4 linked regions of the Rattus norvegicus genome follow. The protein of the gene in region 4 interacts with the protein of the main gene of each other region in a pairwise test. Links are inferred from orthologs where the notes say so. Each region holds a gene or a part of one and is shown on either strand. Other genes may lie near its edges. The genes, in order: Birc2, Cdc73, Zfp410 and Tsga10.

Region 1 (7,244 bases), on a different chromosome or scaffold from region 4:
ACCATCTGTCCAGGGGTACAACTACCTGAAATGGGCAAGGCTCTCCTACATCAATCATTAATAAAGAAAACTGCTCCAAGACATGCCTATGAGCCATCTTATATGCTTTCTCAAGATTCCCTCTTCCAAGACATGTTTAAATTTGTTGTCAAAAACAAACCAGCCCAAAGATCCACCTGTCTGTGCTGTACACCACCACGCCCTCTGCCTTTTTAAAGACACTTCAAACCTTCACAAGCCTACCAGACTTATATCTAGGACAGGTCATATATGGTTTGGTCCACAAAGAAAGTACTTATCACTGTCTGGTTCCTAACCCTCCAATCCTAACAAACACCTACACTCAACAGGCAAGTAAACTGTTTCATATAATTTCTCATGTAGATTTATCTCAATTTTTTGATACTGATGGAGTCTTCTCCCAATATTTTATTTACAAAGCACACACAGCTTATCTAAAGGAATTCTCATGAATCACATTAGAAACATTTTTAAAAGATTTATTATGTACACAGTGTTCTGCCTGCATACATTCCTACACACACTGATGATGCAAGCCTTTAAAAAAAAAACTTCAGTATGTTTCTCATAAACAGAAAATATTATTTACTAGTAACAGAAAAATACTTATTTTCCAGAAGGGAAAAGCACCAAGAAGCACAGGGCTAACTGCTGAGTGCCAGGACCACTGGTTTCAGGATTTCTGAGTTCCACATCACCTGAATCCAAAGTTTTCAGAAATCCCAAATCCAGGAAGTCCTGAGGACACACAGCAAGCATCCCCACTCCTGCTCTGGGACATACACACTCCTGTAGCTCATCAGCATAGACCCTCCCCTGCAACAGACTAAGATTAAATATACAATATGACATAAAGCAAGATTATTAATCTTGAAAGAGTAGAGCACATATGTTCTGCTGCGTAGCTGAATCAGTAATTCTTTGTTCAGACAGCTTCCTTCATTCATGAGAGAAACGTACGCACAGTCCCTTTAATTGTCCCCCTGCAGATGGGGCACTTTCTCAGGGAAGGGGCACATTCCCGGCAGACTACCAGATGACCACAAGGAATGAAAACGATAGAGACCTCTCTGTCCATACACACTTTACACGTTCTTTCTTCTTGTAATCTCCGCAGCTGTTCTTCCAATGACAAGCCTGAGAACAGAAGGACAATAGTGAGACTCAGCCTCTACAAACTAACAGGCACAATGTTGGAGTGCTAGCTCCATTTTACCTGAAACGTCTTCTGTGGGAATATACTTCATCGTCTTCTCCACTGAAGAAAGCAAGCATACAAAAAGCATCATTCTATCAATATGAAACTTTTTAACCTACTACTTTTACATAGTTTTTTTTGTTTGTTTGTTTTTTTTTTTTTGCTATATATTACAAAGAATACTGTCGGGGCTGGGGATTTAGCTCAGTGGTAGAGCGCTTGCCTAGGAAGCACAAGGCCCTGGGTTTGGTCCCCAGCTCCGAAAAAAAGAACCAAAAAAAAAAAAAAAAAAAAAAAAAAATACTGTCCAGGCAATAAAATACATCACTTTTTAAAAAAATAGATAAAATGTAAAGATTACAGGTTTAAACTAGATTTATTCTGCTTTATCAATGGAGAGACAACTCAAACCCTATAGGTATCTAAATAATTTTTTCCAATAAACTCACCAAATAAGTGTTCATATAGCGTAGAGTCGACTTCCTTCAGAGAGTTTTTGAAGACGCTGGCTGCAGCATTTCCCTTGACTAAGATGGTGTCGATGAGCTCTCTTGCTTGTAAGGGTATCTGTGTTTTCTGTCTGATAATATCATGTTCCTCCTTTGTAAGTACACTGGCCTCAAGAAGATCATCCAGGATAGGAATGACACACGTCAACTGTTGGAAGAGGGCCATTCTATTCTTCCGAATCAATGACAAGTCACCTTCATTTAAAAACAAGCAAGAAAAAGTTCCATTAAATTTCAAACACCCCCAACTTACACCCAACCAACCCTATGTACAAATTAGGCACTAAGCTGAGCTTGAAGGACTTCTCAGAAATGACTTGATTGCACATCAATGCAATCAAGTGTCATGTTAATCTTACAGATTAAACTCCGATATATCACACAATTAAAAAAAAAATCCTTCAAATTGTTGTGAGCAAGCAGAAAATTTTAGAGAGTAGTAAACCATGTGTCCTCTCTTTTTTCTCTTTCCCCAGAATCCTAAACTAGTTGAGCTTTCTGGTTTGTTATTTATTGAGACAGGACCTCATGTACCTATGTTCCCCCAATCCTGACTCTACCTCCATTCCAAGAGCTAGGATTACAGACATGAACCCCTATGCCCGATTTACATAGTGCTGATAATGGAACTCAGGGTTTGTGAATGTCAGGCAAGGACTCTATCAATAAGCTACATCTTCAGCCTAGAGGCTGAGACTCCATGCCTTCTATACAACTACAATGCTCAAGAGCTTAAGCTACAAGACATGATGGACTATGCTTGGCTCCCAGGCAAGTCTAGCCACTTAATAGCCATGTGTCCTCCTGCTATATACACCTGATCTGAAATAGGAATAATATCATCTTCCTCAAAGAATTAAATAAAATGCACATAAACCACACTGCACAATACCTCACATGTAACACATAGCCAGCTTTATTTTATAAATCTAAATTTATAGTATAGTTTTTAAAAATGAATCTAGCTTATTCATAAGATTACTTTACTTCAGAGATGAGAAACCTTCAATTTAATTGAATGTACTACCTACTTACTAACCAAAAGGCCAGGATTGAAACATAAATCTATCTCAATCCAGAAGTTAGAATTTTAAACTTTTTGTGATATGGTCACATAATAAGGCTGTAGCCAACTAGACCTCTCTTTTTTAAAAAAAAAAAAAAAAAAAAATTTTTTTCTTTCCTTAGTGTGTGTTGGGGGAGGCAGTCCTGCCACAGCACCTAACTTATAGGAATCAGTGTGTGTGTGTGTGTGTGTGTGTGTGTGTGAGAGAGAGAGAGAGAGAGAGAGAGAGAGAGAGAGAGAGAGAGAGGAAGCGTGTAGCAAGCACCTTTCCCCATTAAGCCATCTTGCAGGCTCCCGATGGCCCTCTAATCCTGTCTTTGCAACCACTATTCCCAGCTAGTCTACATACTCCTTGAAAATAATCAATACTTCACATTTATTTACTTCTACTATTTACATATTTAAATATATGCATATTTGTTGAAGATATAATTACCCAGAGGAAGATTTATTCAAGGAGATTAAGACTTAATAAAATCTACACAAATATCCAAGTCATTTGTCTATTATCCTTGGGTTGGGCAAAGGACCACAGCCTAGGATGTCATCTTAAAATCAAATTTTTGGTGTAAGGATCACCTACCAAGGATTATTAGGTAAAATGTCATATTAGAAACCAAATTTGAAGGAACTTTATTTAAAAAGTAGATTCTTGCTTTGGAATGTAGGCTGACCGTAAACTCAGTACCCGTCTTACTCTCCTGAATGCCACGATTGTAAGAATTAGGTATGTTCCATTACAACCAGCTTTGAACCAGTTTTTAGATCTTGCTTAAAAAACAAAAACAAAAAATTATGTGTATGTGCCTGAGTGTATGTTTGTGTACCAGGTACATGCAAAGGTCTTAAGAGGGGGTCAGATCCCCAGGAACTAGAGTTGTAGGCAGTTGTGAGACACTGGACTTTACTTAGACAATAGAAACCAAACTCAAGTCCTTTACAAGGGCTCTTTACCACTGAGCAATCCCTCAAGTCCCTTAAGTCATGCTTTTTTCAGTTTTAGTTATGTATACAGAAGAAATGCAATACAGCTCAAAAGAAGTTTATTGTAAATCTGTGTAATGTTACATATACATGTAACCTCAGCACTTTGGAGGTGGGGGCAGGAACCTCAGGGATGTTCAAGGACAGCACTAGCTATAGACCGAATATGAAGCTAGCCTGAGCTTGGCAAAGAGACAGTTTAGGTATGTCCAGAGGAGGAGAGTATCAGCAGCCATTTATGGGTGAGAGGTGAGGATGCTGCACGTAACAGGTAACTGAAAACCTGCAGCCACCAATGCTACCTGATGCCGTCTCTTCACTCTGTCTCTCCTTCTCCTCTTCTCTTCTCTCATCTTCAGCATTCAGAAGTGCTGAGACAATATCACTGACCGTCCTGTAGTTCTCACCAGTGGCCAGGATCTGTCGCTGAACCGTCTGTCTCACCAGGCTCCTACTGAAGCCCATATCCAAGGCTGCTTTAACCACAGGTGTGTTCATCATCACTGCATCTTCCCAATTCTCTCCAGGGCCCAGATGCACAACTGTTTGTAAACAAATTTGCTACTATTAAACTCCACAAATTTAAAACTATGGAAAATATAATGCCTGTGGCACCATTTTTATTCATGTCCTAATAAATGAGACATACCATGCGCAACAATTAAATTAATTTCAATACGATTTGAACTTTGAACAATTAGTGTACTATGCATCTTAAAAAAAAAAAAAATCACTTCATACAGTACCTACATCCTGCCGTAAACTTAAAACAAAAAAATCTCTTGGCAATTTGCTTAGGAATCTGTTGCTAAAAAAATTTGAAGTGTTGTTGGAATGGCTCAGTGGTAAAGACACTTGCTCCAAGCCTACGTTCAACTCACAGAATCCATAAGGGGGTAAGAAGAGAACTAATTCCCAAAGTTGTCCTCTTTTTTAAAAAATAGTTTATTTGCTTCTGTGGCACTAGTGTTTTACCTGCATGTGTAAGGTGTTGGGTCCCTGGAACTGGAGCTACAGACAGTTGTGAGATGCCTGCATGCAGGTGTTGGGCATTGAACTTAGGTCCTCTGGAAGAACACCCAGTATTTTTTTTTTCTTTTTTCTTTTTATTGGTTGTTTTTTATTTACATTTCAAATGTTTCCCGTCATAAATCCCCTCTTATCCCCCATCCCCTGTGTCTATGAAGGTGTTCCCCAACCCACCAACCCACCCCTTATACCCCTCAGTATTTATAACTACTGGGATCTTCTCCAGTGCCCAAAGATGTCCTCTTAACTTCCAGACACACTGCAGCATGTGTACCCACACATACACTGTAAACAGCTTTTCCTCAAAAATCATGTAGGCAAGATGGTTCATGGGTAAGTGTTTGCTGTACAAGTCTACCCAAATTCAATTTCTGAAACTCACAGGAGAGACTGACTCCTGAAATAACTGTGTCTCCATATCTGTCTCTCTCTCACGTACCCACACATACAGATATGAAAAATTAATTTTAAAAGATCTCCCAAAATGATTCTAATACACATTCATTTTTTAAAAACCAATGTACCTCAAAAATATAGATATGCGAAATTACCTTCGAGCAAAAAAGTAGGGCAAATGTAAAGCTCATTATCACTGGACATGTGACAGCATAGACAAAGCCCTAGGTCCTTTCCTGACCCACATATAAGCAAGATTTAAGCAAAATACCACCCCAAAATAGATAGATGATAGATGGATGGATGGATGGATGGATGGATGGATGGATGGATGGATGGAGAAAAGGTTAAGATGTGGGTACACCTATGTTGTGGTAAAAGTAAATGCTTCTTTTATCCTGCACTAGATCCTACACTGTAGTGCCCCATGACATCTGTTAGATATTTCCATCTCATTCAGCAAAGCATCTCACCCACTTTGCTCTATCCCATATCACACTGCCGATCGATGGCTACTCTCTGAGCCTGGCAACAATATCTCGACCCACCTAGTTCCCAAGGCAGGTTGCCACCATGCCAGACATACACATCCCAATTTCATGGTGGGTCCAGTGTTTCCAGCCATCAAATACTCTCTTGAATCCAATTAAATCATCACATGAAAGCACACACAACACAACAACGTCTGAGAGAGGAGAGGTAGTAGCCAAGAGAACATGGAAGCGGTGTTAAGTTTCACATTTGTAGGTTGTTATGAATATTCTCAAGGCATGGATGTGTACAAGGCTTTGTATGTCTGGATGGATAGATGGAGCAAAGCAGGTGAGATGCTTTGCTGACTGAGATGACGATATCTAACAGATGACATAGGGCACTATGGTGACAGGATCTAATGTGGGTTAAAAGACAGCATTTTACCACAACACACCTAGAGGGCAGAAAGCTTACCTAGCACTTGTTTGCTAACACAGTAAAACAAAACATTGAATGAAGAAATGGGGTGTGGCCTGGGTGGAGGGCTTGTCTAGCATGCTTGAGGACTCCACTTCTGGCAAGCAGGCAGGCACCTACTCCCTCCCCAAAGAGAGAGTACGTGTGGGTGTGGGGCCTCACAGCAATGAGTCCTTACCAAGCACACATGAAGCACTAGGGTTGGATTCACACCAACGGACATGTATCAGATTTGAATGATGAATAATGTCTAAACAGGTACATAAGTGATGCAGAAAAAACAAGGATGGGCAGCATAAAGATGCAATAAAAATAAGCAAAAGTTGCTATTCTGAACACAGAAATTGGGAGGCCATGGGACACTTAGGGAAGCATTTTCTGTTAACCTGGTCAGTGCAAGCTTCTGTGAGATTACAGCTGTACTTTTCCAAAACACTTTACTGCCGTCTACTGGAAACATACAATAAACACACAAAAGTGTGTAGAGAGCCACTGTGATCAAAAGTATGTCTGAAGAAATACTAAAGACAGCCTTGATCCTCAACACCTCATCCAGAAAGTAACATTTAAAAATAAATAAGACCCTAAAACTGAAATGACAAAGCAGCAACAGGAACGACTGAATGAGAACAGCAAGGCAAGCCTTAAGCAGCACAGAAGCTTAACACAGTCAAGAAGTAAAGATGGTGGCAGGCAGCAGGGATAGCGGCCATGGTAGACAGCTTTGTAAGGAGTGCCTTCCATCACCCTAAGCTTGCCACAATACTGCAGGAGGATCCTGAGCAGAGGGCTGTTCCAGAGGTGACTGGAGATGCTGCAGAGATGGACAGGGGATCAGGAAGAAGTACAGGACAGACCGACCGGGGTAGCATGGCCTACGGTTGGCAGTGGGTAGACTAAGTATCAGGACTCTGTGACGGCGGAACAGACTCCTCAGGAAGTAACGCAGCTGGGTGTCAGGAACTGAGATGAGGAAGGGCAGAGAAGAACATCTCAATGAAGCAGACACCTCACGCTTTGACACAGTCACCGAGAGAGCTCTTGTCACCAGAAATGGAAGCACCTCTTAAGACTTACACAGGTAATGAAC
Region 2 (7,853 bases), on a different chromosome or scaffold from region 4:
AAGCATGAAAGCCTGGGCTCAGTGCCCAATACCACATTAACAGGACATGACTGCAGACACATCTGATCCCAGTACTAGAGGGTAGAGGCAAGAGAAGCACAAGCTCAGGTCATCCTCAATTAGACAGGTGCTAGAGGCCAGCCTGGGCTACATGAGACTTGTGTCCTCCCAATACCCAGAGAAATATCTGGAGAACCATCATAATTTGCACATGTATGCCAAGCTGCAACGTCAAACTCAAATAATTCAGAATCCTACTTAACAGTCCCTTGCCAGCAGAAGAACCTCATCATAACAATCTTTGTGAAATGAAATATTTTTAATTATTCCTAATAATTTCCTCTCAACAATGAATTTTCAAACACTGACAAAGCAGATAAAACTAAAAAACAATACATTTGTCAATAAAGTACCAAAAGAACTGTTCTGGTTAAAATTCTAAAGAAGTATCTGCTTACGTTGGGTTTATTGAGATTTTCATACTTTAGTACTAAATTTATATCATTCTTATGCCTTCTCCTATAATATGTTTATACTAAGAAAAGTTTTCTTGAAATTAAACTATAGTTCTGAATTATCAGAGTTCTTCTACTTATATTTTTTGAAACATCTATGTAGTCACTTTTAAAAGTTCTGTTATGGGGTTGGGGATTAGGCTCAGTGGTAGAGCACTTGCCTAGGAAGTGCAAGGTCCTGGGTTCGATCCCCAGCCCCGAAAAAAAGAAAGAAAAAAAAAAAAAGTTCTGTTATAAATGTTACCTATATTTTACATGAATGAACTGCCAACTAAAAAATCTGAATAAATCACGTAGCAGTTTAATTTTCACTCTCCATGACAATTTCAGACATTTGAAACCCATGAGTGAAGTTATCTATAACTATTTGATCAATAGTTTTAAAATGACTCCTACTTACAGCTGCACGTCGGACATAAACAGGATGCGAAAGGTGCACATTATTAAGGAGAAATAGGATAGAATCCAATGTGTAGTATTCTCTGGGTTGGCCTTCCTTTCCGGTCCTAAAATTAAGGCATGACTTTTATTAAGATTAAGATAAATATTTGAGCTCAGTTACATGCATTCATTTATCTATATCTAGTTGGTTATCTAACAGTGTATTTAACCTAGCAAAAACATACATGCAGTATAAACTTTCACAATGAGTTGTCATTGGGCAAAAGTAAACAAAAAAATGCAGAAAAAAAAAAAACAGGGAGAGCACATAAATTCATTCTTTAAAATACCATATATACTCTTTCTTTTCTTTATTTAAGACAGGCAAGGTCTCGGGTTTGGGGATTTGGCTCAGTGATAGAGTGCTTGCCTAGCAAGCACAAGGCCCTGGGTTCGGTCCCCAGCTCCAAAAAAAAAGAATAGAAAAAAAAAAAAAAAAAAAAGACAGGCAAGGTCTCATGTATCCCAGCTAGCCTCAACTCTGCTACACAGCTGAGGACAGCATGTACACTCCACCATATTTCTTTGCATGTGGTGTTGGGGATCAAGTGCCGAAACCCATACATACTAAGCAAGCATCACACCAACTGAGCTACATCCTCAATCCCAACTCTAAATATGTATACATATTTTAAAATAAGACTTGAGTTCTGGACTCTGTCAACAGAAAAAATAAAAAAAAAAAAATCCAACCAGCTGCACAATGGAAAGGATTATCATAGAAAACAAACTAGATGAAGGTATTACTAAGGATGCACTTAAAAGATATACATCTTATAATTCTAAAAAAGATACTGCTATACAACATCTTCAACAATACTCTGAAAGTTAAAAGGATGTACTCCAAGGAGATGATCCTTATAACATCTCTCAAACTAAACCAATAAAGCAAAACTAAAATACTGTGATCAAGTAATGTAGTCTTGGGGATACAAGTTCTCTAATGCTAACGCACACACCACTTTGCAATCCCTTCCTTTCTCCTCCATCTACTTATGATGGTTCAACTGTAGGAATCCATTTAAATACAGCTCACTTTATTTTGTCCTAAACCTCCTTTACTAGCCTCTATTATCACTTTTACTCTAAGCAAGTGGTTCTCAGCCCTCCTAATGCTACAACTCTTTAATACAATTCTTCTTGTTCTGGTGACCTCCAACTAAAAAATAATTTTCGTTGCTACTTCGTAACTCTTAACTTTGCTACTGTTATAAATGTACCTATGTTTTCTGATGGCCGTAGGAGACCCCTGTGAGGGTCTTCCCACACTTCCAACCCACAGGTTGAGAACCACTGCTCTGAAGTGATATGTCAAATCATTCATTGTTAATTAATATACAAAGTAATTATCATAAAATAGCAGAAAGCGCTGAATGCATTAAGGGTACTAACTAGTCTTTTAGAGATACACACAGTGAGATGTGAATTCATGTAGAGATATAACTTCTGTTGAAGATTTGATGTTGAAAGTTTTAAATTCCTTCTAAGTTTTACTTTTCACTCCTCTGTACACTCTTGTCAAAGCATGTCCTTCCCAAGTCTCATGTCTTAAGTCTCAAGTCTATAGTCCCCAGCACTGGAAGGCTATCCCACTATCTCACTCAAATTCTTAGCTGTTCTTTAAAGTTTACTCATCTGTTCATTCATTTATTCCAGGCTTTGTAGAATGGACAAAACACACTTTTCTAAATACCGCCCCACCCACAAGTAAACAACTGTTCTCTTCCTATCAGCTAGGAAACATTTCAGATCAACTTAATCTGTTCCACTTTTTCTAGTCAAAATAGCTTAAGGAAGGAACTTTTTTTTTTCCAAGTTAAACTTCTTTTATCCCACGGGTTTTTAAAGAAAAAATATTCATTAAAACCCAATAAAATAATTCTGTGTAACGTATCTGAAACAGTAAAACATGGGAAACTCAAAATGTCACTTAATCAACATTTCAAAAAGGAACTCAGTAAGTCCAAAGAAATCTTAACATTTTCTCGTTTTTAATTGATCATTCATAAAGTCATGAGTACCAAAAGTCTGACTCATGATTCTAATTATCAAAGAGAAGCATCAATGGCAGTATCATGATTAAAGGGGACCCAAAGGATTATCTTTGATTATTAACTTGATACTCTGTGATTTCCTCAACGACTTAAGTTCATGGCATCCACGAATCAACCTTCCCAAACGCTTCGTTTTTCTTTGAAAGCGCTTTTTGAAAAGCACATAGGATCAATTTCTCAGACCCGTATGTAAAACTCACTGCATTTCACCAATAACTTTCTCCCCAACAAAGTCTTGCTTTCCTCTCCAATACTGATGTTTGCAGACTTCCAAACTCTCCCATCTTTCCTAAACTGTAAGGAGTACTTGTCTATTCCCTCTTTTTTAATATCAGCCTCCCCTATTATGAAAAAAAGAAAAGAAAATTACCGGGACGCTCGAAGAGCCAGAGGAGACAGTTGCAACACATGGCAGCCTCTGGGAGATTACAAAAAACAACTAAGAACAAAAAGCGACTCGGTGGACGCCAGATGCTGGGATCGATGTCTGCTTCTATACCTCCGTTCAGGTAGACGTGCAGCAGCCCTACACAGCGCGGACAACCTGTACATACTGAACACCGACTGGCAAGTCGGAAACTCCCATGGTACCTTTCCCCTTGGCTTCTCCAACACAGAAAAGACTTGACCGCTCTAGAATCCGCTCCACTTCTTCCCTCCTCACCCTAAAAGTACAACTTCTGCTCCAGAGAATAACTTTTTCCCAGAGCACCCATATTTTCCTCTCATCCCCGAGGGACTCCGGAGGAGGAGGGCTTAAGGGAAGAGGTCGCCCGGGGGCGCCCGACGCTGCCCGGCCACCACTAGGCCAAAGCCATGCCGCACTTACCCCCAAACTACATAGTTGGTCTTCACATTCTTGGGCCAGGAGAACTCCCCGAAGATCACTTCATCCCCCTTGACCACAATCTCCTTCTTCTGGATGTTGTACTGTCGCAGGACGCTGAGCACGTCCGCCATCTTCGCCCCCCTCGCTGCTACAGCCGCCGCCGCCGCGGGCCCCGGGCACCGCCGTCGCCGCCGCGCCCGCCGCCTCCTTTCCCCGTCGCCTCGCCCTCTTCCCCCGCCGCCGCCGCCGCGAACCAACAGCCACCACACTAACAGCCGTCCGCGTCTACGACAGCAGCACGGGCAGAAGCCACCCAGGCCGCCAAGGACCCCGCGCTATATAAGGCAAGGCCCCGCCGCGGGCTGCCCGCGGAGAACGCCTGACTGACCCACGCTCCGCCAGGGCCGCGGGCCGCCGCCAGGGGGCGCCGCGGCCGCCCGAGCAGACGCGCCTCCCAGACGCCCGCGGGGCACGCCGCCGACTCTGGGAAACCGGGAGCCAGCCTGGGCGCTCCCGGGGTGCTGAGCCTTAGCGGAATCGCGCCCGGCGCGGGTTCCGAGGCGAGCGACAGGTGCGCGCGCACCTGCTGGGCGCTTCCGCACTTTCGATCCCAGAGCGCGCACTGGGTGATTTACTTTCCCTGCGCCAGGCTTCGCTTCCCTGTGTTGAAGGCTTCCCCCTCTTTCTGCCTTCATCTGAGCCGCACTCAGCGAAATAGGTCCCCGTGGGCAGGATAAGCTACTAGGGAAAGCTTGAACTTTGGAATGTGGACGTTTTCAAGTTAAGGCTAGGTTTTCATTAGGAGTAGATTTGCAAAGAGGAAAAGAAGAGTTAGGTGAAGAACAATTCTGGAACCGTTTGTTAGTCGCTGGTCTCCTAACATCGATTGATTGGTGAACGGAGTAAAATTAATATGAGAATAAGTTGAAAGCATCCTAACGCGTCGACGAAATACAATTCATTGTTGACCACCCCCTCCCCCACGCCGCCTCTTTCCTTGGAAACAACTTTTTTCCATCCCGGCAACGGCAGCTTCTCCCGGGTAACCGCCCCCCGCCCCAAAAAAAGCCTCAAATGATTCCAGGTTGTGAGTGGAAGAAATACTAAACATCAAACCTCAAAAGGTTTACCGGTGACTTTATGTTAGGGGAACCTAGAATTCTGATACTTTACATGGCCTGTGTAACTTAAACATACACTTCAAGCCTAATATTTCTTTTTCACTCTTGGTGAGAAGGAGGCACACTTTGTTACTTATAAAACCAAATACTTTGATCTATTGGGTTTTGGGGGGGGGGGCATGAACTTTTGTTATGTGTGGCAAAGAGTTCTCCGGGTATGGATGTATGAGGTTAAAAGAATGTCTGCCTCACAAACGGTTTTCTCCCTTCAATGTGTCTCTGAACCTCACGGCAAATGCGGCTTATAAAGAACTGACTTTGCTCGACTGTCCCTTTCACATCTGGACTTATACCTATATATCACAGTACCCAGTATTTCCTTGTCCCCTTTATTTGCTTGCCTACCTCCTAGGAAATGAAACGACTGTATGACATGTAGTACATCTTGGTCGTCTGCACTGTACTTGATACAGTAACAACACCTAGAAAATATTGAGTTAGTAAGTGAAAAGATAAAGTCTCCTAGTAAAGTTTGAGGTAATAAGTGCATTATAGGTTTCAAGACGAGTTAAGAAAGTCAACAATAGTTTTTATGAATTTTATTTTATATACAAATCATTTCCAACCAATTTCTCTTTTTGATTAATTTATGTCTTTAAGGTTAATGACCCCTAGACTCAATGTTGTAAGACAAATGTTATTGTTTATAAGTTAAAGCACTGAAATTTTTACATCATTTTTGTTATATAAATTCCCTTAAATTGACCTCTAATATTAGTTAAGTCAAGAAGGACAAAGTCTAATAAAAGATAGTAGCCGTGGAACTGAAAACTTGGGAAAGCAACTAAAAAAATTATATTCAAAATAGTTTTATCCTGGGTATAAGCTTAACACTTCATAGTGACACATACATTGGTAGTAGCCAGCAGCTCTCTAACTGGACTTAAGACCTACTCAACAAGAGGGAAACCATGCCTGTTACAGAAGACCTAGCTAACTCCCCATGCTAGTAAACTCATGGATCATGAAGGAGAACCTACAACCACCATTTTACTAAACCTGCATACTCTGACTGCATTCTAAATATTTATCCTTGAGCCCACAAATTAGTGTAATTCTCACCGCTCTTCAAAAACTTTTTTCTCTTTGCAACAAATAAAGACTATCACAGGAAACCACAACTGATCAAATGCAGCTGATCCCTAATGAACACATCTACAACACAACCCCTGCACATAAGGCTCAGGGATCGTTTCCGAAAAGGAGGTGGAAAGCTTGAAGGAGTCAGAAGAACAGGAGCATTGCTAGGAGACGGTGTTTCCTAGAAATGTCAGAGAAGATACGCCCATGAAGTCTCACTAACATGGCTGCCTAAACATGACCTGACGAAGAAAAGACACCAACGGACATGCTAACGTGAGAGAGAGAATGTTTGTGGGACCTCAACACTAGACAAAGAACTCAGGCAGCAAGGAATGCTGAGAGAGAGTGAAATAGTCTTCCCCGTGGAGAAACAAAACTAGTTATCCAAACCAAATGGTCAGTCCTGAAAGCATACAGATTCGTATATACATGTGTGCGTGTGTGTGCGCGTGTGTGTGCACGCGCGCGCGTGTATGTGTGTGTGTGTGTTGTGTGATACTGAGCACATTAGAACTGTGTATATGTAACAACAGTTTAAGAAAAAGAGATTATGAATTTGAAAGAGCAGAGAAGAGGTTCTTAGAAGGACCTAGGAAAGGGAAGGGAAGTAATAAAATTATATTATAATATCAAAAAACTAAAAAAAAAGCTGTGCATATCTGTAATTATGAATACCAGAATCCCCAACAATTCTTACTTAAGGTTTATTGATAGAATGCCTAACCAGCAATCAGAAAGTATCCCATTCGCTTTTTAACCTGGAAATTATGGGTATACTAAATACATATACACATCTATAGATCTTTGTATAGTCATTGAATCCTGATAAATCTTTCTGCTTCCATATCCCAGTGCCTCCCTCCAAATGCTATAAATCTTGGTCCTAACAATGTCTTCACACATTATCTCTCTTTGCTTGTTAGTGACCACAGAAACATCTCCTGTGTTTCTCATGGTTGACAGCTCACTTATTTTTAACACAAAATAATATTCCATTCTCCAGATGTACTATTACTTACAAACCAGAAGATGTCTTGGTGACTTCCAAGTTTTGTCAACTTTGAGGTTGAGAAAACTCATATCAATATCTATGTCCAGATGTTAGTTTGGGTTCAAAATTTTAATTTCTTATATAAATACCAAGAAGTCAGATTGTTAGGCCAAACAATAAAAGAATGCTTAACTTTGTAAAAAACTGCCAAGTTATCTCCCAATGTGAGAGTATCAGTATCATTGTTTTTATTGTAACCATCAATGAGTGAAAGCTCCTATTGATGCACGTCTACACCAGGGTTGACTATTGTCAGTGTTCTATACTATGGTCAGACTAGTAGGTATATAGTTCTCTCTCCCTCTATAGACCAGGCTGGCCTCAAATTCAGAAAGATCTGACTGGCTTTGCCTACACCTCTACTTCCACCTCCTGAGTGCTAGAATTAAAGGTGTGCAGCCCAGCAGCGGCCACCTCCACCACCACCCAGCAAGGGGAAAGGAAACATTATCAAAGAAACACTAGCCACAAAACACAGTAACAGGCCAGGCTACACAAAAAAACCCTGTGTCAAAAAACAAACAAACAAACAAGATTTCCTTCCTCCTACTGACTCAGCCCATCTGTCCTTGCCTGCCTTCTTTGAGCATTAGAGCTCCTAGCACATAAATTATTATTTTCATTCCTACTCTGATAATCCCAACACTCCCGCCATGTCTTCCTGATACTTTGTTCTGACTTTATCGTGTTTTTATTCTG
Region 3 (7,244 bases), on a different chromosome or scaffold from region 4:
GCTTTCGGATTGTACTTTATCTCCTATTTATTGCTCTGTAACGTTCACAGGATTCGATAAATACATCCATGCAATCTTCAGAGACTGGAAAACAGGCCGACTTGTCCGTCACCTCCTGGCGGCGCTAAGGTCATCTAGGACAACCTCACATTTCTTCCTACAAGGTAGGCTTCTGGAGAAAGAAGACAATACTGTCTGTTCCTTCCTCACACAGATAAAGCTGGATAAAGGTTACTGATAATGAATCAACAGAATGCACAAGACAATGGAATTAACCCTCTCCTCAGGGACTAGTAACAACAGTGTGTTTCATTTCTACCCTCGCTGTGCCTTTAAGTATAGGGGAGCAGGGAGTGGCCGGCGGCCGGCAGAGGTGAGGAAACTGCGGGAGGGAAGGGAGCTGCTCACCTGTGTGGATGCGTCGGTGGTTCTTCAGGTTTCCAGCCGTAGTGAACTGCTTACCACACCCAGACTCATGGCACATAAAGGGTTTCTCCCCGTTGTGTGTCCTCATGTGCACCTTCAGCCGCTGCAGCACATAGAAGCTCTTCCCACAACCCTCTGCAGGGCAGATGAAGGAGCGCTCATTTCTGTGAAAACAGTCACAAGCACCAAGGCCTGAGAGCGCTGTGTGCTGCTGCTGCTGCTGCGTCAGCATCTCTACCGACCCAAAGGCAGACAGTGCACTCCCGACGGGGATACTCAAACCAACCCAGGCTGTTAGAACTGTACAAGCCCAGTCTCAGCTACAACACCACACAGACTTAAGGTGGTGCCCTAGGAAGATCTGCCATTACTGTTGTTAGGTTGGTTTTTTTTTTTAAAGTTTTTTAAGACAGAGTTTCTCCCTGTAGCCCTGGCTGTCCTGGAACTTGCTTTGTAGACCAGGCTGCCCTCAAAATAGATCCACCTGCCTCTGCCTCCCTAGTGTGGGATTAAAGGTGTGCACCACCACTGCCTGGCTGTTGTTATTTTATTTGTTTTCCTGTGTATAGGTATCTTGCCTGAATTGTCTGTGCACTGCATATATCCTGGTGCCTAAGGTGGCCAGAAGGGCACCAGATCCCTAAAAGTGGAGTTATGGCAGCTGTGGACTGCCACGTGGGTGCTGGCAACCAACTTGCTCTCTGGAAGAGCATCCAATGCTCTTAACAGCTAACTCATCTCTTTAGAATTTACATATTAAGTTCTCAAATTATTTTGTAGTAAGACTTGAGAATTTTTACTCTTTAAGATATTTAGGTGCAAAATGTCTTATTTAAATATTTATCAGAAATAAGTTAATGAGAGGCAGAGGCAAGAGAACCAAGAATTCAAAGGCATCCTTTTCTGTACAGAAAGTCTGAGGCCTGCCTGCAGCCACATGCCCAAAATAAGTAAATAAGACAACACAATCTTTCTATTAACATACAAGAGTCCTGAGCCAGGTATGGGGATGCACGGTTTCCTCAGTGCATGGGAGGCTTAGGAAGGAGAACCTTGAGTTTGGAGCCAGTGCGAGCAAACAGTGAGAACTCATCTTAACAAAACAAAACAAAACAAAAACATAGAGCTATGGATACAGCTCACAAAACAGTACTTTTTTTTTTTTTTTTTTAGGTAGATTATAAAGCCCGGGTTTAGATCCTAGAACAACAAAAACAAGGTTCAAACAAGAAGTTTCCTATTAGCTGGCATGCTGTAAACCTGGGAGGCTGAGGCAGAAGATCATTTAAGCTCAAAAAATTTGAAGCAATGTGGTAGCACAAGAATCCACCCAGAAACAAACGAGAACCAGAGACCTTGGTCTTTTGAAGCAAGGTCTTGAGTTGGAGGGATGGCTCAGTGGTTAAGAGCACTGACTGCTCTTCCAGAGGTCCTGAGTTCAATCCCAACCACATGGTGGCTCACAACCATCTGTAAAGAGATCCGATGCCCTCTTCTGGTGTCTGAAGACAGATACAGTGTACTCATATATAATAAATAAATAAATCTTAAAAAAAAGAAAGAAAGAAAGAAACAAGGTCTCCCTACAGCCCAAGTCGATCTCAAAGGCTGAGATTACAGGTGTATATGCATCATCACACCTGACAAAGGAAGATATCTTAGCCAGCACAAACGGAGTTCCCGCTTTCCTGTAGTTTGTCTATTCAGGGACAGGTTCCTCAGTATGATTGCTCACCGATGAGTTTTAAGGTGGTACTTGAAGTGAGCTGGCCACACAAATGTCCGATCACAGCCTTCAACCGTGCACTTGAGCTTCTTTTCCACTTGAGGAAGGGGCCCAGAGTCTTTGAGTTGCCCATCGCCAGAACCAAGGTGGACATTTTCTCCTGTAACAAGTGACATTTTAGAATTCAGGGAAAGATCCTGCTCAGACACTCAGATTCAAATGTTTCATTGCTAGCGATCAATCGTTAACCAGACAGCTATCTGTGCTTACTAGGCATAGGCATGACCTTCGTCTACATCCAGAGAATTACCCACAGCTTGCAGGCTTTATTTCCTAACACTAGGTTTCTGACAAACGTAGTGATATTGAGTAAGGCTACCTTACACATATCTCATCTGCGGGGCCAGGCATGGTGGTACACGCCTGTGATCTCACCCCTGTAATCCCAGCTTTTGTGGTGGGAGAGAAGTAGCAGGACTGAGCAGTCTCAAAAGGAACCCAAGCATTTGCAGCAGAGTTGGTAGAGAAGTAACACCCAGAGTGGAGGCTACAGAGGGAGCTTCGAGTTTTAGGAAATAAGGAAACACTTGCTTTGGATGAGTGAGCTTATAGCAGGTTTTTATCACAGACGGCCTGCCTGCCTGCCTGCCTGCCTGCCTATTTTTATGCTCCAGATTTTATTCTCCTCCCAGTCACCCTCCAACAGTTCCACATCCCAAACCCCCAAACCTACCTCCCTCCTACCCCGTCTCCAAACAGGTGGCCATTCTTAAGATTTCCCATTTTCTGAATCAACTTGTTCATTTATTATCATTTGAAGGATAAGAACAACCTTCTAATTTCCTATCTCACCCCATTTTGGTTATCCAGTGTTTAAAAATGTAAACCTCAGATGAATTTTGAAAATTTGAACCAATCTTTCATAAGAGACAACATCCATGGGGCTGTTCCATAGTGAAGGGAGGCAAGACGAGCAAGCAGGCCTCGGCTCATGCTGCCCAGGATCTGCTAACTAAGAATGTATGCATGGTCCACATCAACAGGTCTGCCTTCAGGCCAGCCTGGGACCTCCGTAAGACCTCGTCACAGGCTGTAGTAAGGAAGGGCTGCAGATGCTAGCTCAGTAGAGCACATGCCCAGCAAGCAGGAGGCCTTACGTGACCCAGTACAGAAAGTAAGTCAAGGTAAGATGTGTGTCCTGAGATGCGTGAAAACACTGAAGCAGAGATGGTTGGATCTCTCTAAGTTCAAGGCTAGCCTGGTCTTCATAGTGAGTTATAGAAAAGCCAGAAGTACATAAGGAGACCTTGCCTCAAAAACAAACAACAAAATACAGAAGTCAATGTCTAGAAAATCAGAGCTAGGCATGGTGCACTCATTTAATCTTAGCACTCCGGAGGCAGAGGTGGGTGGATCTCTGACTCCCAGGCCAATCTGGCCTACAGATGTGATTTCCAGGACAGCCAGGGCCACATAGAGACCCTGCAAGGGGAGACCCTGCAAGGGGAGACCCTGCAAGGGGAGACCCTGCAAGGGGAGACCCTGCAAGGGGAGCCCCTGCAAGGGGAGCCCCTGCAAGGGGAGACCCTGCAAGGGGAGCCCCTGCAAGGGGAGACCCTACAAGGGGAGACCCTGCAAGGGGAGCCCCTGCAAGGGGAGACCCTGCAAGGGGAGACCCTGCAAGGGGAGGGGTAGTTTGTTAGGAAAGAATTAAATACAAAATCTTAGGGGATCTCACCAACAAAATGAAACTATTTGTGTCTTATGTTTGTGGTATTTACTTTGTATTCCGGAATATAAGACACTTGTTAAGGTTATAAAGTAACTTTTGTCTTTTGAGATGAGGGACTCACTATGTAGGGCGGCACCATTTTCTAAATGTGACTAAAATGGTGAAAGTTTTAGGATTTATTTTTTTTTTCTATTCTTTTTTTTGGAGCTGGGGACCGAAAGGTTTCAGGATTTTTGAATTAGAAAAATCATCTTAGAAGAAATCTTCCCCAAATGGTTAGATGAATACAGGGCACCGTGAAGTCACTATCAAATAATCATTTGAAGATCAACAAAAGTATGGAATATTCTGTGTAGGAGTTATTGTTTATAAAAATAAATATTCTGAAATATCTGTAGAATCCCCAAGTTTATGAGATGTTATTTAGTTTTTTGTTTTTATATGAACAGTAATTAGAAAATAATTATAAATATGTTCTGGATTACCAGGCAAGAGCTCCAAATAGTTGTCAACTGACAATGCTGTGTGTAATCTTGGCTTGGTTAGTAACAATAGTGACAGGTGTGGTAATAACTTAATCATCACAGACTAATGAGAAAATACAGAAAGAGAACTAATCAAGAGACCTAAAAATTAATGGTAGTTATGTAAACGAAGGTTTGACTAGTATGGGGGGTTTTGAATCTACCACAGATCTGTGGTTAGGCATGAGAGTTGCACTTGAAGACCAATGTGGGGTAAGGGAGTGTGTGAGGTCCTCTGGAGCTGGAGTTACAGGTTAGGATCCACCTGATGTGGACGTTAGGGAGCAAATTCAGCTTCTTTGAAAGAGCAGCCATCACCCTTAAGAGCTGAGCCACCTCTCAGCACCAAGACAGCCACACCTCTGAGCTGCCTGGGGATCCGGGGACCGTATTCCAAAGTGACGTCAGACACATGAAGTTGTACAGGCTAAGCTGAAGAGACACCAGACTGAGAAAACAGCTTAGTGGGGGAAATGCTTGTCACACAAGCATGAGGACATGAAACACAGACCAGCCATGTGTGGGATATTCCTAGGAGTGGGGAGGACATACCTTTATCCTCCATGTGTACATGTTCATGCACACACACATATACACTCAAACTTTTTAAACAGAAAGTAACTAGCATAAAGCAATTGGCTAATGAATATCAACATAGTTTAAGCATTATGAGTCAGATTCAACATTAATTTTACAATTGTACTTTTATTAACTGATAAAGCTATTTTAACTTCTTTGAGCTCTAAATATAAATGTTTTATAAATTTTGATCTTTACATACTTAAGAATGATTATGATAAAAGCATTCAATATTGTCGGCAATTCTGCTAGGCTCCACCCAGCAGCTACCTAGCAACAACTTGCAAGGTAACGTGGCTTATAAGGACTATGTTCTCGTTCTCTCTCTCTCTCTCTCTCTCTCTCTCTCTCTCTCTCTCTCTCTCTCTCTCTCTCTCTCTCTCCCCCTCCCTCCCTTTCCCCTCCCACACCCTTTCTCTACCCACCCACTTCTCGCTCTCCCCCCATCTCTCTCTATTCTCTCTTCCTCCCTCCTCTTTCTTCCTCTACCCCTTTTCCAGGTCCCCTTCCCTTCCCCCAAATAAGCTCCCTTTTGTTCTAGGCCTGTTCCACGGTGGTGAGTCCTCAGGAGAACACCTTGGCTGGACCCACTGAGGTGCTCTGTCCCGCCACAGTATTCTGCCATTTTACAGAACACAGCTGCAATTATACACAATTCAAAATACAGCCGCTCTGTTACCCAAGTCTCTGTATGGAGAAACCTGAGAGAAGAAAGTCTCACCATTGCTGCCAGTTTTTGCATTCTTTGCTAGCTGTGCACGAGTAGCTGCGATCAAACTGTCGTGGGCCAGTTCCTGAACCCGGAGGAACCATGGGATATTACTGTCTGTGCTCTCAGCAGAGAGGAAGTCAGCCCCCGAGTCCTCGGCCTCATCCTGTACAAACACAAAGTGCTCAGCTGAAGAGCCCAGACCTGAAAGGAGAAAGAGAACACAGGAAGATTAGCCAGCATCCTTTCATTAGACCTGGCCCAGACACTTGTCCCGAATTAATCAGTCTAGATCTTCCCTTCTCACTTCAAGTTTCTGTTCTTATAAATAATTAAGATATCGTTTCTCCATCCAGCCCACAGGCTTACTGCTAACTCTGCCTCCTCTTGTTTCAGAAGCAAAATGTTCCTTCCTGGCAACCAGGCCACCTCCCACTTGAAATACTCCAATCCTGTGTGCGGTCAGGTCATTCTCTCTTGAATGCTTCCGTTAAGTTCTCTCTCACCAGGGCTGGAAAGATAGCCCAGCAGTTAAGAGTGGCTGTCATTACTTAGGCCAAGCTGGCCTTGAACTCAGAAATCTGCTTGTCTCTGCTTTCCAAGAGCTGGAGTTAAAGGTAAGTGACCCACGCCCAACACGTTTTCTTTATTATTGATTTGTTTGAGCCAAGGTCTCACCATGTTGCCTCCGCTGGCCTCAAGCACGTCCTCCTACTTCAGCATCATGGGCACTGAGTTTACAGATTTGTATGCAGTTTCAAAAATAACTCTACCTTCTAACTTGTATTTCTATTCAGTCACACTCTACTCTCCAGACCCACCCGTCTTCCAGAAACTACTATTTTTCCCAAGGCAACCAGGTAGACATTTGACCTCTCTAGTCCATTCTACAGCAGTCGGTATCATTTAGCATCCTTTCTTCCTTAAAACACTTTCCTCCCCTGGTTCCTATGCACCATTCTCTCCCAGTTCCACTTGCTGTTCTGCTGCCCTCTGAGGTCCCCCTGCCCAGGCTCCCACACTTACCTTCTTCCTACTTATGTTTCAAACTTACCTGGAATCCAAGAATGTACAACACATGGTTCGCAATACTGGGTGTGATGAGCTGCCCGACTGACTACTTTGGACCAGACCTCTCAGAACTCTAAACTCCTAACTCTCCAAAGGATACTCCCTCATCAATGTACCCCCAAACCGAAACATCTGCAGACACTTCTGGAACTGAGCATCCTCCCCCAAGCTGCTTCTTGCTCTCACTCTCCTGGTCAAGGGCAACACATGAATTTCCCAAACAAGGAATGATTCTGTCGCCAGCTGTAGGGACACCTCTATCCCTGCACTCATGGGTGAGAGGCAGGGAGATCCCATACTCAAGACAGTCAGTGCTACACAGAGACGCCACCATATCCAAGGAGTTTACCATTGGATACACATGCCTAACACCCAACACGTCTCCCAGGAGCAGGCAGCGTCCTTATTTTGTACACAAATTGTGCTGCACAGAGGAACAGGGATGACAAAAGCCAAAATGTGAAGAACAGACTTTTC
Region 4 (8,009 bases):
GTGTATCACTCTTGCTTCCATTCCCAAAGGACTCTAAGTCATCACTCCAGAGAGATATCCACACATCTCTACACTATTCACAGCAACCCAGACATAGATTCACCTTGGATGCCCAACAACAGTTAAGTGTGCAAAGGAAAGGTGGCATATATCCACCACTGAGTTTTATTCAGACATAAAGAAGGATGAAATTATGTCCCTTGGGGCTATGAAACATTATGTTAAAACGAACCTTTCATATGCATAATCTAAATGTAAAAAAAACAAAACAAAACCCATACCCATGGCTAGGGAGACGGTTCTGTGTATAAAGCTCTTGCCATCAAGCACAAGGATCAGAGTTTGAATCCATGGGAAAGCCAGGCAGACATGTTGCCAATTCCTGCCTCTGGGAACCAGAGACAGAGCATCCTAGAGGCAAGCTGGCCAGCTAGGCAAGCTAGAATTGGCCAGCTCCAGGACCTCGGAGAGAGCCTGTCTTAATCAATAAAAGCAGGAAGCCAGCAAACGTCTACTTCAGGATACCCATGCATACACACAGGCCAATGGGTTTCCATTTACATGTAAACACACGCACATGCACATACCAAACATACATGCAGAAAAGAAAAAGCACTAAAGGACATGAAAGAGAAGGGGGAACACTGGGGAGGGAGAAGAGGAACAAGTCGGGGGTAGTGTGGGGGGAAATAGGAGGGAAAGGCAAAACAGGATTTTGCAGTTTTATGTAGGTACACATGTATGTAAATGTCATATAAATCCATTTTTGCATGCTGACTAAATTAATTTTAAGATTGAAAGCAAACATGTTAGTCATGAAAACAAGCAGGAAAAATATAACCTGTAACGAAGAGGCCAAAAAGCTAATAGAAAGAAACTTAAAAATATCATGAATTATAGGATTTAGTGCATTAGTACTTTTTTGGGTTTTTAAAAAAGATTTATTTATTTTATTTATATGAGTACACTGTAGCAGTCTTCAGATACCCCAGAAGAGGACATCAGATCCCATTACAGATGGTTATGAGCCACCATGTGGTTGCTGGGATTTGAAACTCAGGACCTCTGGAAGAGCAGTCAGTGCTTTTTTTTTTTTTTTTTTTTTTTTTTTTTGTTCTTTTTTTCGGAGCTGGGGACCGAACCCAGGGCTTTGCGCTTCCTAGGTAAGCGCTCTACCACTGAGCTAAATCCCCAGCCCCACAGTCAGTGCTTTTAACCACTGAGCCATCTCTCCAGCCCATACATAAGTACTTTAATATAGTCATTTAACTATTTTATATATTCCCAAGATAATGGCAGAACAAATTATACAGAGAATGTGTGTCTGTGTGTGTATAAACAAACTTATCTACACACACACACACACACACACACACACACACACACACACACACACACACACACGGTTTCTCTGTGTTGCCCAGGCGATCCTGGAACTCGCTCTGTAGACCAAACCTTGTACTCATAGAGATCCTTCTGCCTCTGCCTCCTGAGTACTGGGATTAAAGGTATGTGCTACCACTGCCAGTTTAGACAGGCTATGTTTTATAATGGAAGACTTCTCTTTTAAAACATCAAACTTTCAGCAATAAAAAAATCAATTTTAATTTTTGTTGAGACTTATTTTTATCTATATCTGCCAGGTATGTGTGCACAGTGTGACTGCAGTGCCCGTGGAGACCAGAAGAGGGCAGCAGATCCTTTGTAACGGGAATTAGAGAGCTGTGAGTCATCTAAGCGATGCTGCGAATTGAGCCTGGGTCCTGTAGAAGAGCAGCATCAAGTGCTCTTAACCACTGAGCTAGCTTTCCAACCCCAAGTTTTTCTTTTTTGAAATGGGTCTCATGTAGCCCAGTGCATGCAGTTCAGGCTGACCTTGAACTCACTGTAGATGATACTGGCTTTGAATTCCAGATCCTCTTGCTTCTACCTCCCAAGCACTCTCACTCATTACAAACACTATGGCAAAGCCTGGCACCAGAAAACAGTTTTCAACTGAAGAACTGAGGCTGAATGATTTTCATAAAATAACCAAAAAATTTAAAGCTAAAATTTACAAAGACGTTAAAACTTACTGTTGCTCCCCACCCCAGATAAAAATTACAATCAATAAATGGGCTAACGAAATGGGCCATTCTCAAAAGAAGAAACATAAATGACCAGTAAATGTTTTGAAAAGTTCTGAACAGCATTAGCCATGGTTGGGGGGGGGGGGCGTGCAAATTAAGGTTTGTACCCTAAATCAGAAGGGCTATCATTGTGAAAACAAATTACAAGTGCTGGCAAGGATGTGGAGGAGCCCTTTCACAGTGCTGGAAGGCATGCAAACTGACGTGAACTCAGTGTGAAGACTTCTCAAAAAACTACACAGAGCTACCCGCGACCTAGAGTTACTGCTTCTGATACGCCCGGAGGCCTTCACACGCTACCACAGGGACACTTGACTATTTATTCCTGTTTATTGCTGCGCTATTCACAAGAGCCAGGGAATGGATCCGGCCTAAATATCCTGAACAGATGAACCAATAATGGGAGCATTGTACATATACGACGAAACTTGACTCTACCATAAAAACAAGTCACGAAATCTGCAGAAAAACGGACTTGGAAATTATTTTAAATGAGATAACAGACTCACGAAGTCAAAAGCCATTATGTTCTTGCATGCCGATTCTAGCTTTACATGTAGGGGGTAAATACGGGTGTGAATGTGGACATAGCTCACGAAACTACAAGGTGAGGCGGGAAAGAGTGGTTTGAGGGTAACAGAACACTGTGACATGAAAAAGGCAGGGACCACTGGGGTCACTGGAGTGGAACGGCAAGGGGAGTGGACAACAGAAACAAATTTTGAAGGCAAATGCCACAAAGAAACCTATTTACTTTGCGTCCTAATAAAATAAATAAAAACGGGGTAAAAAAAAAAACCTTCTGGCTAAGATGGGTAGAAGCGGTAACGCACTCACAAAAGCAGTATGACAAAATACTTTTCATGCTAAACTGAAAAAAAAAAAAACAATGGCAGCACAGCGCGGGGCTCATTTCCATTTAGAAAGATTCGAGATGCCATTTTAAGGCTCTCGAATAGAAAAAAAAATACGTCGGATAAGAAAAGGCCCAATTTTGCTCGCTGGTAGGAGCCAAACTCGGGGTAAAACCTTCAGATACAGTATTTAACATCTCACGAGGTTTTATATCCTTTCTTGATTTTCATTGCTAAGCGTGCTAGAGAGGACCGGCGTGTAGAACAGAAATGCCCGACTGGCATGGGGGAGATGAATGCTGGATCTGCCATTTCCCAGATCCATCCTGACCCGAGCAGACCCGTGGCACCAGGACAGATCGTCTCCCGCCAGGAAGCTGCGACAGGGTCCCCCACCTTAAGGCTCCCACAGCACAGCTTCCTGACGATGGCTGCGCACCGGAGCAGCTCTAGGGAGTAACCGCCTCCCTCAGCTAGAAACGCCTGGGGTTCCTGGGACCGCAGCAGGGGCGCCAGCGCCGGGCGACGGCCACCGCGCTTGCGCGTTCCGGCTACCTCCTCGCAAGCGCAGGCTGGAGGATGGTTACTAAGAGACTGGACGCACGGGTCGGCCATCACGGCGCTGCGTGGCCGTGCGCCTGCGCGGCGCGGATGGACCAGGAAAAGGCCTCAAGTCGGAGCCCTGACAGCTCGGGCCCGCTGCTGTCTACGTCGCTACGTGCTCGCTCGGGTGCGCGCGCACGATCCGTAGTTCCCCCCCCCACGAGAGGGCGTGTCGAGCCAAGTACGCGTGCGCACGGGGGCTAGGGCGCGCCGGACGGAAGTGGAGCGGAGGCGCCGGGGAGGTGGAAGGAGAGCCCCGCTCAGGTACAGAGCGTGAGGGCGGGGCGTCGGCCAGCCCCGAGCTAACCGCTCCCGCCCTCTTCCCGCTGCGCCCTGCCCAGCGCCGGCCTCCGCCGGGGCGGAGCCAGGGGGCGGGAAGAAGGAGACAGGGGCGGAGGATGGAGGCCGGGGTGGGGCTGGATCTCTGGCAAGGCCATAGGCCCCATAGTGGCCGGGATGAGCTCCGGGGAGGACGGTGGCCGCGGAGGCCAGGGGAGGGCTGCGGAGCTCCAGGGAGAAGCCTCGGAGGTGCGCTGGGCTAGAAGAGAGCCACTCCGGGGCGGCTGCAAGAGGGTGGGGAGAGCCTCACGGTGGCCCGGGGTGGGCATCGCTGTTTGGGCAGCTGTGTCGTGGGTAACCCGCCGGGTAGGATGGCTTCCAGGAGCAAAATTTACCCTAGTTTCTGGGGAGTTCATGGTTGAGCCCAGTTCCTATGGTGACCGCTTCGCTGCTGCCTGCCTCAGCTTGGTTGTTGGGGGACTGATTGCTTAGAGACACTGAGGTGAAGCTGTGGCATTTGGAAGTTTAGCCTGTCTGTTTCAGGACCCCCCAGTCTCTCCTCAATCTCTTCTTTATAGATTAGAAGGCAGATGAAGGGAGAAATTGAATTTTGCATGAAAAAAAAATCTCACAATCTCCTAGTTTGTACAGAGGAAAGGCAGGGTAGGCTGGTTTTTGTTTGAAAACTTATTCAAGACTCAAATAGGCATCTGTCATGCATTTAATATCTAAAAATGCCGACGTATATATGTACATAAGTATTTGTATATAATCTTCAGTCAACGATTTAGATTTTAAGAAAGGTTTGCACAAGTGACAGGGTTCGGTGTTTTCTTTAAGCCCCTGCAGACCTGCATGTCCCACGGTACTAGCTAGTCATTTTATTCTACTGGTTTTCAGGATTTCGAGTACATTTTGTTCACTTTCGGGAAATAAAGTCATAGTAATTTCGGAATAGAATAGGTTGTTAAGCTAAAGGGAAGTTATATTTAACTGTGCTTGAAGAACAAAACAATTGTATTTTAATTAAGCAATGAACTAAGTCCTTCTGTCTTAATTACTGGGAAAGAAATAATAAATATATTACATCAACCAATATTCCTTTCAAACCCCCAAACCTCGATATTATTTAATGGCAGTTTTAAAAACAGGTTTTACTTATTTTCCAAAGAAGAATCATTGCCGTAGCCCAGAATATAACCAGGCAAAGAGAGAGCCTCTGGGTTCTGTTTTCAGTCTAATGTCTCATTTGTTTAAAAATCATTTGGTTTTAAAGTTTTCCACAAGTAGAGGCCATTAAAACAGGTGTAATTTATTCCCTAACAAGTCACATGCTCTTGCGCTTCCTTTATTCCCCATACTGGCAATGCTAGCCATTTTCTTGCTTTTCCTAGTAGTTTTATCATCCTGTGCAAAAGTACAGCTTACAGTCTGCCTTGTTAGGGGACTTTATAGAAGGGAAACTGTAGCAGGTGTTCTACAGCTTATTTTCAACACTTAGAGGTTGTATCCTTACTGCTTCTAGGTAGTTTGCTAGTGTTCCACTGTAAAGATATACCACAATTTACTGTCGGTGGGTTTTCAAATATCTGACAGGGTTATGGGTATTAAAATATATGCATCTCATGTTTTGAGGAGAGGCAGTGGGGAAGGTAGTTCTTTTTGTTTTAGTTGCACCATTAGTCTTAGTCTTAAATTACTAATCCCTTTGGTCTAGAAAAGCCTTCAGAGAACAGCTAACTCCGTCTTGGGTTTCTAAGGTCTTGATAAACACTGCCTCTCCATTGTTTCATGCTGCATTGAGAACATAAGTTATTTCTTTAGAGACTGGATTGTAGAAACAGAGATGAGCTTGGAGCTTGGAGTGAAATGACTGGGGAGATTTTGTTGTTGTTTACCTTAAGAAAAGTTTAAACTTTAATGACTTTACTATTTTGCTTGAAGTGAGTTCTCAAAACATACTCACTTATTTTTGTCATAAATATAAATGTGACATTCATAACCTTTTTGTAGGATTATCCATATCTCCTGGTAGGCACTTCTATCCTACTTTGATGAGTCTGTAAATCTAACTTTTGGAGAGAATTGTTTTAAAAAAAAAAAAAAGCAAAACTTAACCCTAGTTTAGCTTTCCCAGAACCAGTTTTCAGGACTGAATTGAAAATACTACAGTATTTTTAATTATTGTATCAATATAATAGCTACTTGCCAAATGTGTACTGTGTGACTCAGTTTGCTTAAGAGCAATGATACTTTGTGTGTTATGTGTTACATGCACATGTATACATGTGTGTGAAGGTTACAAACTGACCTGGGTGTTTTCCCTTAATCCCTCTTTACTTTATTTTATTTATTTATTTTTCTTTTGGTTCTTTTTTTTTCGGAGCTGGGGACCGAACCCAGGGCCTTGCGCTTCCTAGGTAAGCGCTCTACCACTGAGCTAAATCCCCAGCCCCTCTTTACTTTATTTTTAAGGCATCATTTCTCACTGAGCCTGGAGTTTGTCAGTACAGTTAGTCTGGCTGACCAGCATGCCCAGTGGTCCTCTTATCCCCTGCTTGTCCCATGCTAGGATCACAGGCACATGCTGCCCACTGCTGTGCCCAGTCTTCTTTACAAGGATGCTATGATCCAAATTCTGATCCTATGTGTACAGTGTGTACTTTCCTGACCCTAATGATATATTTTTAAACTAATTTTTAAACGTTAGTGTACAGAGCTGGAGAGATGGCTTAGCGGTTAAGAGCACTGACTGCTCTTCAGAGGTCCTGAGTTCAGTTCCCAGCAACCACATGGTGGCCCGATGCCCTCTTCTGGTGTGTCTGAAGACGGCTACAGTGTACTCACATGCATAAAATAAATAAATCTTTAAAAAGAAAGTTAGTATACAGTGGGAGGGGGTGACCAGAGGAGAGAAGTTAATATACAAATAGTCTGTTGTATCATGACATTTCACACACATATATTGTTTTATCTTGATCCTCCCTACCCTTCCCGCCTTTTGCTGATAGTTTTTAAACATATAATCTTAACTTCATTTCACTGAAAAATTAAAGTCCCACTAGGAAGGAAGTTCCTCATATTTAACCCTTATTTAAAATTCCACTTACCTTTGCTTTTCTCATTCTGTGTCAGAGGACAGTGTACCTGCTACCTGGGTTTCCTCATGTTACTCACCTTTTGCCTCTCCACCAATCAACATTAATTTATGTCTTCATTCTTTCTCTGTTGTAGGACTTCATTACTTGCATTACTTTAGTGAATTCCTTTTTCAACCCCCCCCCGCGCGCGTGTGTGTGTGTGTGTGTGTGTGTGTGTGTGTTTGTGCTTGTGCATGTGCGTGCACATTATGTGCATGAGGAGGTCAGAGGACAACTTCTATGTGTATGTGTGCACACTTGCTTGCCAGGATGTATGCTTGCTACAGTGCCTGTGCGGAGATAGAGGAACTGTGAGAGTCGGTTCTCTTCTTTCACTATATGGGTCCTGGGTGATCAAACTCAGGTCATCAGGCTCAGGCACAGTGCCCTTATCAGTTAAGTCATCTCAGTGGTCCTGGCCCTAAGGAAATATTGAAGTGGTTTTGTGTATGCAGATTAGATATTGTTCATCAGAAATGCTTAAAATCAGAAGTGTTGCTGTTTCAGAGGTTGGGGACTTTGGGATATTGCATGTACATGATGCATCTCAGGGATGGGGCCAAATCTAAACAGAAAATTAATTTGTTTCATATGAACTTTACATCCATTTTCCGTAACACTTTTGGTATCCTGGGATTTTGACTTTGGCCACTCTCCTGAGGTCAGGTATGGACTTTTCCATTTGTAGCTTCATGCTGTTGCTCAGAAACTTTGTGAGGATTTCAGGTTTGAATTTTCAGAGTAAGGATGTGTAGACTTTCTTTGCATTTTCTTGAGAGCCACAGTACTTGTTTGACTCTGGAAGGGGTCTCTTGAAAAGAATGGAGCATACTTTTCTCTTTTGGCAGTGAACCTTCTACAGCCTTAGTCTTCCTTTAACTTTTTTTTTTTTTTTGTTCTTTTTTTCGGAGCTGGGGACCGAACCCAGGGCCTTGCGCTTCTTAGGTAAGCGCTCTACCACTGAGCTAAATCCCCAGCCCCCTTCCTTTAACTTTTATTCCGCC

What was found.
Region 1: the proteins of Tsga10 (region 4) and Birc2 interact in binary tests that used the Homo sapiens proteins (3 or more experiments, as listed by UniProt). The two-hybrid records come from large-scale screens. The link is inferred for Rattus norvegicus from reciprocal best matches to the Homo sapiens genes TSGA10 and BIRC2.
Region 2: the proteins of Tsga10 (region 4) and Cdc73 interact in binary tests that used the Homo sapiens proteins (3 or more experiments, as listed by UniProt). The two-hybrid records come from large-scale screens. The link is inferred for Rattus norvegicus from reciprocal best matches to the Homo sapiens genes TSGA10 and CDC73.
Region 3: the proteins of Tsga10 (region 4) and Zfp410 interact in binary tests that used the Homo sapiens proteins (3 or more experiments, as listed by UniProt). The two-hybrid records come from large-scale screens. The link is inferred for Rattus norvegicus from reciprocal best matches to the Homo sapiens genes TSGA10 and ZNF410.

Annotation. Positions count from the first base shown.
Region 1 is NC_086026.1:13,253,213-13,260,456, forward strand, and holds the end of Birc2 (baculoviral IAP repeat-containing protein 2), read right to left. Parts: intron 4,321-7,244; coding exon 4,081-4,320; intron 1,924-4,080; coding exon 1,669-1,923; intron 1,280-1,668; coding exon 1,238-1,279; intron 1,159-1,237; coding exon 965-1,158; 3' UTR 485-964; downstream 1-484. UniProt on the Homo sapiens protein: Multi-functional protein which regulates not only caspases and apoptosis, but also modulates inflammatory signaling and immunity, mitogenic kinase signaling, and cell proliferation, as well as cell invasion and metastasis.
Region 2 is NC_086031.1:57,995,875-58,003,727, forward strand, and holds the start of Cdc73 (parafibromin), read right to left. Parts: upstream 4,158-7,853; 5' UTR 3,971-4,157; coding exon 3,840-3,970; intron 1,022-3,839; coding exon 916-1,021; intron 1-915.
Region 3 is NC_086024.1:109,703,264-109,710,507, reverse strand, and holds part of Zfp410 (zinc finger protein 410), read right to left. Parts: intron 5,901-7,244; coding exon 5,709-5,900; intron 2,313-5,708; coding exon 2,162-2,312; intron 591-2,161; coding exon 409-590; intron 1-408. UniProt on the Homo sapiens protein: Transcription factor that binds to the sequence motif 5'-CATCCCATAATA-3', and is specifically required to silence expression of fetal hemoglobin in adult erythroid cells.
Region 4 is NC_086027.1:47,589,848-47,597,856, reverse strand, and holds the start of Tsga10 (testis-specific gene 10 protein), read left to right. Parts: upstream 1-3,795; 5' UTR 3,796-3,850; intron 3,851-3,995; exon of another isoform or gene 3,996-4,042; coding exon of another isoform or gene 4,043-4,114; intron 4,115-8,009. UniProt on the Homo sapiens protein: Plays a role in spermatogenesis. When overexpressed, prevents nuclear localization of HIF1A.